2 linked regions of the Cricetulus griseus genome follow. Each later gene encodes a partner of the first gene's protein in a complex. Links are inferred from orthologs where the notes say so. Each region holds a gene or a part of one and is shown in the gene's direction. Other genes may lie near its edges.

Region 1 (6,631 bases):
CTATCTATCTATCTATCTATCTATCTATCTATCTATCTATCTATCTATCTTATTTGGTTTTTCAAAGCAGGGTTTCTCTGTAGCTTTGGAGTCTGTCCTGGAACTCCCTCTGTAGACCAGGCTGGCCTCGAACTCACAGAGATCTGCCTGCCTCTGCCTCCCGAGTGCTGGGATTAAAGGTATGTACCACCACCACCCGGCCATTCAACATTTTTTAAAGGCCAGCTGTGGTGGTATACACCTTTAATCCCAGCAGAGACAATCCGCTCTGAGTTCAAGGCCAGCATGGGACATGTAGTGAATTTCAGTCTTTAAAACCAAAGGACTGAGGCCTGGAGGGATGTCTCAGTAGTTAAGAGCACTGGATGTTCTATCAGAGAACTGGTAGTGATTCCCAGAATCCACATGGCAGCCCACAACTTCTGTAACTTCAGTCCCCGGTGATCCAGTGTTCTCCTCTGGCCTCTGAGGGTACTGTGCACATGTGGTACACATTCATGCAAGGTAAGAACTAAAACATTTAAATATGGGAGAGGTCAGAAAGTGAGGCCTGGCATCACACCTATAATCCCTGTACCCTGGTGGCTCAAGCAAAAGCAGAAGTTTGAGGCCAGCTTGGGCTATATGTAAGGCCCTGTCACAAACAAATGAACTCACTGTAGTTATGTAGGGCGCTTGTTACCTGCTTTGTTTTATAGAAAGGGAAATGAAGGCTTACAGGGGAAAGAGAATTCTCCGCGCTCACTGGACTGTTGACTAGTGGTGGCAGAAATGAGCTTGGCTCCTAGCGAGGCTGGCCCCCACTGTGGGGAAACCCCACATGTTCCTTATACCTCAGCCACCCCTGCTTTTCAGGTAGACATGGTTCCTTTTGTTTCATGCATTCACATATCTAGTTTTTTAACAGGCTCTCATGAAGTCCAGGCTGATCTCAAACTCAGTATGTAGTTGGAGATGACCTTGAACTTGTGGCCCTCCTGCCTCTACCTCCCAAGTGCTGGGATTATAAGTGTGCACCACTGTACCTGGTTTTATGACTCGATTGAATCCAGAATTTCCTGCATGCTAGGCCAGCACTCTATCAAGCAAGCTATGTCCCCAGCCCTTTTGCTTGTCTTATAAATCCTTATTTGCAAGGGTCCTATCTTGTTGGTTTGATGACTGCTGAGGCTCATCTGAGTGGTGGCTTGATGTCCACTGGAAGTTTTAGATGAGGCTAGCTCGGGCTTGCTAAGCTGCCTGGCTCTAAGGAGTAGGTAGTAGCTGAGACTCTTCATGCCAGAAGAAACAATGTCACAGGCAGTCCCCCAAAACATGACAGGGCTATGCAAAATCTGATTTCAACTGCAAAGAAGGGTGGCTGTCCCTTCTGAGTGAGTGAACACATTACTCAGAAAATGTGTTGAAAATGCAGGATTCTGGGTTGTGTCCTGCCAGCTTCCAATGGTGCATGCCTCAAGGCCAGAGAATTGGGTTCTATCTGTGAGGCCTGGATCTACTCCCAGCTCTTGGGTGACCTGAGAGTTAAGCAGGCTAAAATAATGCTGGTGTCCTGAGCACGTGGGTATTCTAATCTGAGAGTACCAAGTGCCTGTCTACCCCTCTCCCCAAGGACACAGTGACACCCTTGCCTTTTCTGTACTTGGGAGGCCCTTCAGGGGCAAGGTCTCAGCAGGTGAGAGGCAGTGGGTGAGCTTGAAAGGGCCACATTCCAGGGCCAGCCACCTGGTGTCCAGACTTGTATATAAATATAAAACATGACAGAATTAATGGCCTTTTCATTCAAAATGCAAGTCAACTGTCCTTAGCTTATCTGTCCTTAGCTTTTGCCCAGTTCTGTAGCTGTAGAAGTTACACTCTGAATTCCGATTCCCAGCTTTTGACGTTTGTTTGCTATTCAGAGACCTATCTCGCTGAGGAAGGCTTACTCTCCCAAATACTGACCTACTTGGATATGTGCAAGTGACACAGCACAGCTCCCCTGATCTGTGGAAGGACTCTTCTGCTTAGGAGACGGTTGGAGGCTAAGTTGCACAGCCGCTGATTAGAGAGAGATGTCATTGCCCAGTGAGTGGATAGCTGGCCTCGGTGTCTGAAATAAGATCTTCCCCCAGAGCTCTGTACATCTGGAACTTGGCCTTCTCAAGGGTCCCAAAATAGCCAGGCCTCTAAAGGGACAACTTTGTGAGAGGACATGAGAAGGACCCCCAACTGCTCTTGGCCCAAACAGGATTTACTGTATTGAAGGGGGAAAATGTTCTATGGTACTTGTTAAAGCATGACAAGGAAAATTTATTGGGACAACTGAGATAGAGATGCTGCTGTTGCCGTGGGGAGAGATGAGTGCAGCTGAGCACAGACAAGGCACAGGGCCGGGCGTGTGGATAGAAAATCACTCAAAGGAGAAAGCTGTTCAAAGGCAAAGGGGATTCTGATTAAGCTCACTTGGCAGGGTTCTCACAAGCCAAGGTGATCAGACATCTGTCTCCTGGGGAGGACTGGAGATAGGGTAGAGCTGGGAACCTGACCAGATAGCCACAGTGGTAGGCTAGGAAGGAGGGGTTCTGGTGATGTGGCTCAGCTGTTCTTTTGCAGTAACTGGATTTTACAAGGAACTGCACAGACAGGCTAGGAGAAAGTTCCGTAGCCTTGCTCTAAAGTCTAGCCAGGCAGACTCCTATGAGTTGGCCTTATGAGACTGGCACAATTAATCCCCAGGTTTTGTTCTCTTCTTGCAGCACTTCTGCATGCCTGTGTATCTCCCTTTCTTGCAGCTTGTTCTAAAAATATTTCCAAGGAGCTAGCCCCTGAAACGCACACAAACATAATGCTTCTCCAGAAAGACTTTTAAGTTATGTTCTGTGTTTGGATCAAATACAAACTGTGTGGTTGGGAAACGTGAGAGCTTTATTCAAAGCTGAGAAGTTTTGGTGCACTCCAGTAGTTAGAGTTGAGTCTTCCTGGGATCACCTCCTGGTTTCGGCCTCTGAAGATTGGCAGGTGTAGTTAGATAGCTGCTGTCTCCTGTCCTACACTGCTGCCTTGCTGTCACCCAGGAAAAAAGAAAAAAAAAAAAACCTGTCTCCCCACTGGGAGAGTGAGACCCCTTGTAAGGATTCAGGCATTATGTTGGCCTGCCCCTATCACCTGGCAGAATGCACTCAGGCAGTACCATGGTCAGCCCAGGGTTCCATGATTGCATAGTCTGCATGCAGGTGCAAAGGACCCTTTAAAAGAAGACTCCCACCCACTTACACTCTTTCTCTGTCTTTCCTGCTGTTCCCCTGGGGCAAACAGGACTTGTCCTGTCTCCCTCTTTTGTCCTCTCTAGTCAGTGTGTGTCTTTACCTCTTTTCTCTTTCCTTCTCCTCCCTCCCCCACCCCCACCCCTTCCCTATCTAATAAAACTTCTCACTAAGCTGTGTCTGCCTGGTGTGTTTGTCCTTGCCTCAGTCAACCTCACCAACCATGGAATCCACCAGGGTCCCTCTCACTTTATCATAATGTTGGTTATCATAACTCCCCTCTTGTGCTTCAAACTCATATTTTGACTTACAGATGCAGTTCATCTTTATTTTTTTCTCCTGAGACAGGTTTAATTATATAGCCCTGGTTAGCCTGCAATTCATTATGTAGACCAGGATGGCCTCAAAGTCAGAAATCTCGCTCTGCCTCTCAAGTCCTGGGAGTCAAGTCATACACTACCATTCCCAACACCCCTAAATCTTTTTTGGGGGGGATGGGGGGGTTGGGACAGGGTTTCTCTGTGTAGCTTTGGAGTCTATCCTGGCACTCGCTCTGGAGACCAGGCTGTCCTCGAACTCAGAGATCTGCCTGCCTCTGCCTCCCGAGTGCTGGGATTAAAGGCTTGCGCCACCAAAGTCTGCCTCAGTACCCCTAAATCACTGTTGGTTGCATAGCATTCTCTGGGAATCTAGAAAAAGCAGAGCCAGTGGAACCAGTGTGGCACCCTGTGATCGGCTAGCCTGTCTGACCTGTGAAGCCCAAGTCACTCCGGAGGATCAGAGCCTTTGATACCACTGTTCCCTCTCATGGGGCTTTCTGCCCTGTTCCTTCCTTCCTTCCTTCCTTCCTTCCTTCCTTCCTTCCTTCCTTCCTTTTCTTTCTTTTTTTGTTGTTGTTGTTTGTTGTTGTTGTTGTTGTTCTTGGTTTTTTGAGACAGGGTTTTTCTGTGTAGCTTTGGAGGCTGTCCTGGAACTCGCTCTGTAGACCAGACTGGTCACGAACTCACAGAGATCCGCCTGCCTCAGCCTCCCAAGTGCTGGGATTAAAGGTATGTGCCACCACAGCCCGGCTTGTCCACTCTGTTTTTAACCAGTCTTTGTTTCTCCTAACTTTATCTTAGGAAACTGCATCCTCTGCCAATGGCCCTTCTCGTGAAGGCTCCAGGCTGCTGCCCACTAGGGAAGGCCACTCCATATACCCCCAGCTCCGGCCGGGCTACATTCCCATTCCTGTCCTCCATGAAGGCACTGAAAATCGGCCACCACACCTTTACCATGCCTACTCCCAGCCTGGAGTGCAGCGATTTCGAACAGAGGCAGCAGCGGCTGCTCCTCAGAGGTCCCAGTCCCCTTTGCGTGGTGGCATGACAGAGACTACCCAGCCAGATAAACAGTGTGCACAGGTACCCACAGCTGCTGCAGCTCAGCCCTCGGCTGCCCATGGACCTGAGGTAAGAGACCTACCCGCCTCGTGGATGGACAAAATAATACAGAGACATATTAGGTACAAATGCTGCATAGCCAATGACTAGGATTCTCATCTCTTAGCTCAGTCTTAATTATCATAAATCTATTTTATAAGAGTTATCTTATCGGACACCTTCCATTGGTGTCCCTCCTTGCCAGTGGATCACATTGTGCCACTGGAAGAAGAGCGGAGGGGAAAAAGGACACTTCCTGTTTCTCCTTGCTATGTCACTTCCTGCCTGGATCACCACTTCTCTACTACATTTCCCAGAATCCCCTTTGACTCCTAGTCCTTGCTGTCTCATTGGCCAAACAGTACTTTATTCAATAATCAATAAGATAAACATACACAGAAGTACTTCCCCCATCAGACCTGGCTCATGCTGAGCCAGATACCTGGTAGTACGTAGGGCTCTGGGCCCCGCCTGCTGCATCAATGGTTCTTCATTGCAGAGACAGTTTGGCAGCCTCATATTGTTCCCGTCTTACACCTGTGTTTTTCAGGTGGCCCAGCTTATTTTTGTAGTAAAAGAATTGGCGCCCAGGTGGCAGCTGCATGGTCAAAATGCAGAGAGGTAGAGGCAACAAAGCTGGGAGCAGCTGCCTGGCCTCCTGGGTCAGAGCTTTCTAGTCACACTGGGCTCTCTGTTTCAGAGAGCCCTAAGTTATTCTGTTCAGTCCTTCCATATACACACCAACCACTTGGACCTCTGCTGGGACCTATGAAGTCAGGCCGGCGTCTCTGTCTTAAGAGTGTGCCCCTAAAGGAAAACACAGCTTAAGTCAGAAGGGCAACAGCTTTAGACTTGGGCTTGAGCCCTGGAGCTCAGCACTGCAAGGCATGTTAATAGCTCAAGAATATAGTTCATCCAGCTCTGAGCTGAGATTTGTGGCCAGCAGACCTGGTAGGGTTCCTAAGCAGGTAAGCCCTCTTGGTCCTTCTGTCTTCAGCTCATCCCCTGGGGCTTTGGCATTGTTCTTGAGTATAAGCCCCCATTTCCTGCTTGTATCCCAATTCCCTGGCATCCTGATTGCCTCTCCACCCCTATATTTGCTCACCTTCACCAGCCTGGGGTGAAAAGTATTAGTTGATGTTGGGATACTGGAGGTCTCTCCTTCCTTGGAGATGAGGTTGCTAGGTTTGTAAAGTTTATGCAGTATATAAGTCAACATAGTACATTGGTCAGAGATGTTAGAAAATTTTAGAGCCATCTTCTTCACTTTCTAGATGATGGGAGGGGTCGATTAGAAGAGAAAGGGACCTGACCTGCACCCAGACACAGGCAGCTCCCAGATGCTCCACAGTGTTCTCCAATGAGAGGTTAGGAGGAAGTGAGGACATAGCAACCAGATATTGGGCCACGCCCTTCCTGTGCACACTGCTGCCTGCTGAGGCAAGTGCATAGACTATTCAGTAATCCCTAAAGCATCCCAGTGAGGTGAGCAGGCAGCCTAGCCTTTTCCCATAGTTCAGGTGAGGCTCAGAGAACTGTTGAGCTTCCAGGTGTTTGAACCCAGGCCTTTTCATGTCCAAGGTCTGGGAGCCTTGTGGGTGCTAGGCAAGTGCTCTCCCAGTGAGCTACATCCCCAGCCTTCTTGGTCTCGATAGCAATATGATAAGTGAAGTGGTACTCCCTCACAAAGGGACACATGAAGGCTTAGCCCTTATCCTCACATTTTGAAAGTGGAAATGTTTATAGCAGGAAGGCTTTGAGAAATGTGTTGTCCTGGCCAGGTGGTACCTGATGGAGTGCCAGGACAGCAGCAGGGTCATTAATGGTACCATGCTCTGCCCTTTGTTTCTTTCAGCGGTCTCAGTCTCCAGCTGCCTCAGATTGCTCATCCTCATCCTCCTCAGCCAGCCTGCCCTCCTGCAGGAGCAGTCTGGGTAGCCATCAGCTCCCCCGGGGCTACATCCC
Region 2 (6,731 bases), on another chromosome or scaffold:
TGGGAGGGAAAAAGAAAGCCTTGTAGAGCACACCCTCAAACACTCCCACAATCAGGACAGCCCAGCAGCACGTAAACACACACAACACCCACCCAAATCCACACACGCTCAGCCAGAGACAGCACTCTGGAACCCCACCCCAGCCCCTGCCTGGTCTCAGGCAGGGCCAGATTTCTCCCTGTTCATCGTCCAGGGTGACTCCCCTCATAATTAGCTGCAGACTCACTCAGCCCCTCCCAGCTGCAGTCTGTGCCCAGCCATGACGTCAGCTTAAGGTTTCTGGCACCATGAGCTCATCCCACATTGCATCAAGGCCACCCAGTAGCGGGGGGACACGTCATGCCAGGACAGGGGGCCCCTCTCTCCACTGGGCAAAAGCTGGGGGAAGGAGACATCTCAGTCCACCCACTCTAAACAGAGCCAAGATTCAAAACATTAGCTTTCCCACCAGGGCTCCTGCCATCCCACATCTGTGTGCCGGGGCCAGCTCTCCCCACCTGAAAAGTGGGGTGATGGTAACAAAGACAGTGTTGTGAACATTTCCTGCCATGCCTGCAGTGGCTCATGACAGTGAAAGGCACAGTGGAGTGATTCTGTTCTGTATTCTTCATTATTTATTTTTATTACATATATAGGGTTCTGCCTGCATATACATCTGCATGCCAGAAGAGGGCACCAGATCTCATTACGGATGGTTGTGAGCCACCATGTGGTTGCTGGGAATTGAACTCAGAACCTCTGGAAGAGCAGTCAGTGCTCTTAAACTCTGAGCTATCTCTCCACCTCCCCACCCCCGACCCTTGTGTTCTGTATTCTTATTTTGAGTAAAGTGCCTCATACAAGAAAAGCTTCCTATCAAAATGACTTTTCTACCTGTGACTCAAATTCCTCAACACCCTCACCCCATAAAGAAAGCACAGCTTGGGACCCGTAGGCTCACAAAGGGAAAATGACATGTCCCAAGCTGCCCACCTGTTGAGGACGGTGCAAAGACTGGAACCCCAAACCCAAGGCTAAAAGAAGATTTGTAAATCCATTCTCCCAGAGGTCTGGGGGAACAAGGAATTCTAGAAACTTGGAGCAGAGAGTTCTAGAAATGGTTCTTCCTGGATTGGGAGTTTCAGAACTAATATGCCATCTGGAGAATAGTACATCCAGGCAGTTATTACTGTTACTTAGGATAAAAATATAAACCCAGCCTGGTGGTGCTGGCCTGTAATCCAAGATGCTCAGGAGGCTGAAGCATGAAGCTCACAGGTAGAGTAGGCTGAGAGTGAGTTCACGGCCAGCCTAGGTAGATTAATGAGATGCTATTTGAAAACAAAGAATAAGGAAGTAAAAGGGTTTCTCTACCTGCTTCTCTACCTTTGTGTGTGTGTGTGTGTGTAAATATATATATATATATATATATATGTGTGTGTGTGTGTGTGTGTGTGTGTGTGTGTGTATATATATATATATATTACAGACTAAGATCCCATATGAGGGATATCATAGTAGGACAACATAGTAACCTTTAGAAAGGACACCAAGAGGGGACTTATTAGGTGATAGAGAAGGAATGCAAGAAAAGGACACACGAGTCATGAAAGAGGCTAGAAAGCAATAGTTTGTGACTGTTTTGTTGTTGTTTGTTCTGTGTGGTGGATATGTGACTAGAAATGTAACTGAGTGAGTGAGGACATAAAACATGAAGCTCCAGTACTTGGGCACGGCCATCTGTATAGAGGTTCACTCTGAGATGGGGACAGGGCAGGTGTCCAGGTGGCTAGCTTAAACCAGCTGTGCGATGTCTTTATTTGTGAACCCATCACAATAAAGTGATTTTATGGAAGGAGAGGGTTAGGATGCAGCTATCCAGCTTGTGTAAGGCTGAGTTCTGCCTCCAGTACCACAGTCAATCAATAAAAGTTTTTTAAAAAGTTATGACTTATGATGGTTTGCTCTGCTGCCAAACAGGACAGTAGTAGAGCCCTTAGCTATCTGTGTGGTGGTGGGTGGGGGAGGTTCCACCGGCTAATGTTTATGAAGTGCTTAAGAGAAAACATTACACAACTGATAAGTTGAAAGTTGAAAGCCTATGAACACAGATCCTTCTACCAAGTATGTGACATCATGCATTCCTGATGACGCATCCCCAAGTAGGCTCCTCTCCTGCCCATTTCGCAGGTGGGAAACAAGCAGCTCAGGCATGCCTGGGAGTAATGTTACCACTGAGCAACACTCTTCCCTTGACCAAACGTCAGCCAGACTCCTCCTCAGAGGGAGGGCCAGGCGTTCATTGCCTTCACCTACTTTTAACAAGAACATGTCAGTTTAGCCACAACCCCCACGGTTCCCTATATGACCACCCCTCCACCCCCATGCCAGATCAATTGCTTTTCCTCTTCTAGTTTTCAGGTGAGGTCTGGCCACCCCAGCCTATCCTTAGAGGAATGCAGTTAGGTCAGTTTATCCAGAATCCCTCAGACCCCTGGATCCCCCTCAGTCATTTCTCATACATTGACCCCCATTCTGCCTCCAGGCAGTGTTGGGAGTTGAGCCCAATTTCTTCTCTTGCTCCAAGACCTTCCTATCCCAATAGACACTCTGTCAGGTTTTTTTTTTTTATATGACTTAACAAGTGTCATTAAAGAAAAATCATGATATGTTGTTGTTGGTCACTCTCAGAAGTCGGAGATACCTTTGGTCAAACTGTAAGTGGGGATTCCATCTACTTTTCAATCTAATGGGCCGATGTCTCTCTTCTTCTGTGGGTCCCCAGGGTGGGAGGCAAGATAGAACATGTTCTGGGGATGGTATTTCCAGAGTATGACCTGAACACTCAGCCAGGCGGAGGGTTATTAATAGTCTGGCTTTAGTGCCCTGTGGGACACTAGTGCCTGGAGTGGACGCTGCTGGAGTCAGAGGGAGGGCGGGGCGGAGCTGAGTACGGGGAGGAGAGAGTGCGGGAGAGGCTGGCTAGACTCGGACGCCACGGCCCCTCCCAGCTCTCCACCCGCTCCCGGAGCCCAGTTGTTCTCTCAGCGGATTCTCAGGGGCTGGTTCATCACCTTCGAATACTCCTGGGACAGGAGGTGCTTGCAAAACCCGCCCCCAGCCCCCAGCAGCAAATAAATACAAGGCTCCCAGCCCAGAAGCCAGGAGAAGTTTCTAGGCGCACGTCCCTGAGGTTTATTAAACTCCTGGCTGTGCTCAAGACCTCAGCAGCGGCCCTGGCTGGGAGCCTGGGAAGCCTGGGAGGCGGGTGACTTGCTGATAGCCTGGTGAGGTGGGACAGACAGAGGCCCTTTGGGATTCTGCTGGGCCTGCTTGGTGGGTCACATTTGTGAGCCAGGATCCCAGCTCCCTTCTGGGCAGCGGATGGTTGGGCTTGTGGCTAACAGAAGATCAGAATTTTCTGAAGCGGAGGACTAAACTCTGAAAACCATCTCAAGCCACATCACCTTGCTGTGTGATCTTGGGTAGGTGGCTCTGTCTCTCTGAGCCTCTATTTCCCCTCAGCTCAGCAGACACCATGGCTGATGGGCAGTTGCCTTTCCCGTGCTCCTACCCAAGCCGCTTGCGCAGAGACCCCTTCCGGGACTCACCGCTCTCTTCCCGCCTGCTGGACGATGGCTTTGGCATGGACCCCTTCCCAGATGACTTGACAGCCCCTTGGCCTGATTGGGCTTTGCCTCGGCTCTCATCTGCCTGGCCCGGAACCCTAAGATCCGGCATGGTGCCCCGGGGGCCTACAGCCACAGCCAGGTTTGGAGTGCCTGCTGAGGGCAGGAGCCCCCCACCCTTCCCCGGGGAGCCCTGGAAAGTGTGTGTCAACGTGCACAGCTTCAAACCTGAAGAGCTGATGGTGAAGACCAAGGATGGATACGTAGAGGTGTCAGGTGAGTGAGGGACAGACAGCCAGGGCGTGTGTGTGTGTGTGTGTGTGTGTGTGTGTGTGTGTGTGTGTGTGTGTTCAACCTAGACGCAACTTCAGTAAAAGGGACCTGTGACAGACAACGTGGCACAGGTGACCTCAGGTCTCAGGAATGCAGCCCACAATGTTATCATTAGAGACACGTGCTTCTCAATGGGGGACAGAAAGAGAATGAATGTGACCCAGTAGCTGGGGTCCTCAGGGCATGGTGCCCACCTGAGAGAACTGGCAGGGACCAGATTGGCAATTTTGAAGTAGACAGTTTAATATGAAGAATAGATTGATTCGTGGAGGACTTCTGAAGACACAGGAACAGGGGTTACCATACCCCAAAGCCACAACACTGGGGTCGGGGGAGTGGGGCAGGATGAATGCTGAGTCGCCATGCTATCAACAAGAGTAGGAAACTGAGGCTGGATGGTTATGACAGCACTACAGCTGCTAACCTTGGTAAAGAGGTGTCTGCCTGGTACCAGAAGCCAGAAACCCAGCATCAGGTAGCACCTGTGTTAATATAGCCAGAGGAGGTGGCTGCATTAACTGTCCACCTGTCCCCTTTGGACTTAGGAAATGGAGGTCAGCAGAGTCTAGCATAATTTGCTCAAGGTAGCAAAGGGTTCCAACCCAGGCTGCCTTGGGAACTGAGGGACAGAAGGGATCTATCTAGCCATCTATTTATTTATTTGTTTGCTTATTTATTTATTCGTTTGAGCCAAGTTTCTAAGCTGAGTTATAAAAACACACAAATTAACCCTACTACCACCAGCACCAGCAACAACAAGAAAAACCAGTTAAAAATCAACTTCCTGTGACCCTTCATCCCCTGACTATCTACTCCCATCTTGCAGCTGAGGAGGCCTTGTCCCAGGTCATCCAGTGAGTCAGCAAAAGGACCAGAGCAGAGCTTAGGCCTGGCCACAGCGTCAGGCCCAGGGCTTTCCCTACCCCATTGCACTCTGGGAGAACGAATCCGCTGGGGGGAAAAGACAGAGGAGACAGGAAGCCTGGCCCCTGGTGAGATGGGCCTCAGCTTTCTGCCTCCCTTCCAATTAACAGGCCATTAAAAAGAACTTGTTCCTGGCAGGGGCCTGAAGCCAGAAAATCAATAGCAAGCCTGCTGTAAGCACTAGCTGAGCAGAGACAAGCCCCAGCAGTGTTCAAGGGGGCCTGGAGGGTGGGGGTGGATTAAAGTCACTTGGAATAGAATTGTGAACATCAAAGGTTGTGAGTGTGGGTGTGGTGGGGCAGGCACACCGGGGCACGTGCTGACGTGGGTGTGGGCTCGGCACTGGCTGGTGAGCCAACACTAGCTCGGCTGCTGGCTAACCAACAGGACGGGCTATTCTTCAGCTGTCTTGTTCCTTTTTGGACATGGAGGTCTCCACTGGTCCTCAGGAAGGGTGGAGGTAGCTTCCAACAGGGCAATATTTATATAGTGGGTGCATGGATATTAAGTTTGTTTTTGTAAACAGAAATACAGCGGTAGCCATGGTGTGGGCATGTAGGGAGGTCCCAGTAGATAATAAATGATAAACACTATGAGACCTAGGTTCAAATTCCAACCAGGCTGTGAGGTAGCCAAATGGATACCAACTAGGAGCCTCAGTTTCCCTGTCTGTGCAATGGGAATTATGGTCATTCCTGTCACATGAGGCTAGTGGGAAGATGTAGTAAATGCAGAAGATAAGTCCAGAACATCTGTAAAATGGAGTTAGTACAGCATCCTGCAGATTGAGGTCATCACCACCCCACCCTTGTTCAGTTTTAATGACGGTTGTTTAATGCAGAGGCTTCCAGATCGCCCACACCCTGAAGCCTTATCTGAAGGTACTCCTTAACAGGTGGAGTCTGGCAGCCACCAGCTGAGATCTCAAGTAGGAACCCTAGTGATCCAGAGGCTTGGGGGTGTATCACAGAGCCTCACTGTCTCTGTCTGTGAAATGGGAACACTGGAACTAAGACAAAAAGATAAATCCTGTACTTGTGCAGCTAATTGCAGCCCCAGCTATACAGACTTCAAACCCACTGAAGGTGCATGCAAAAGTTTTCTTCCCTGATAGGAGTTTAAGAACTAAGGTCTGGGGCTCCCTGCAAAAGCAGCTTTTAAAGGGGAGCCAGGGAGCAGAGTCAGTATCCTACCTACATCATGCAATAAGCACAAGCAGTTCAGACCAGACCTTTGCTCACTGACCACTCGGATTGGCTTACTGGGAGGTTACTCATGATGCTTTTTAGAAGTGTGGGTAGGTATGTAACATCACCCCTGCCCATTTTACAGATAGTGAAACTGAGGCAGGCCTACAGAGGCTAACTCACCCAGCACGACCAACCACCTACTTCCTCTCTGGCAGTATATAATATTTTAAAGATAGTCCCGGCCTAGAGGTTCACTGACTGACTCTAGTTCTGACTGTGAAGCTGTTTAGACTTCCCACCCTCAATCCTGGAACTCAGCATCAATGCTGCCTCACAAAGAAGGGGGCTAGGTCAGATTTGCCTCATCATCTGCTTCCGGGTGTCTAGGGAATGGATGAAAGGTTGTTCTGAATTGCAGATGATGCCCGATGAGCCAGAATCATAAGTAAGCCTCTGCCTCATTGCAGGGCTTCTCAGAGCCTCCCCTTGTCCATACAGTTTACAGATATTAAGAGTCAGCCCCATCTTATCTGACCATGTAGGAAGACCCCGCTCCAGGAAAGTGTTTGGAAAATGTGGGTTCATGATTTCCATCACGAATCACCTTCCCCTACCCCTACCCTGCAGCCACCAGCCAAGAATGATCCCTTCTGGGCCAGGCCTTGGTTAAGGAAAG

Evidence for each region.
Region 2: Bag3 (region 1) and Hspb8 share a complex: the UniProt entries of both Homo sapiens proteins name them as parts of the chaperone-assisted selective autophagy (CASA) complex. The link is inferred for Cricetulus griseus from reciprocal best matches to the Homo sapiens genes BAG3 and HSPB8.

What each region holds. Positions count from the first base shown.
Region 1 is NC_048596.1:72,258,446-72,265,076, reverse strand, and holds part of Bag3 (BAG family molecular chaperone regulator 3), read left to right. Parts: intron 1-4,366; coding exon 4,367-4,696; intron 4,697-6,521; coding exon 6,522-6,631. UniProt on the Homo sapiens protein: Co-chaperone and adapter protein that connects different classes of molecular chaperones including heat shock proteins 70 (HSP70s), e.g. HSPA1A/HSP70 or HSPA8/HSC70, and small heat shock proteins (sHSPs), e.g. HSPB8.
Region 2 is NC_048597.1:96,472,709-96,479,439, reverse strand, and holds the start of Hspb8 (heat shock protein beta-8), read left to right. Parts: upstream 1-2,990; 5' UTR 2,991-3,517; coding exon 3,518-3,884; intron 3,885-6,731. UniProt on the Homo sapiens protein: Involved in the chaperone-assisted selective autophagy (CASA), a crucial process for protein quality control, particularly in mechanical strained cells and tissues such as muscle. Displays temperature-dependent chaperone activity.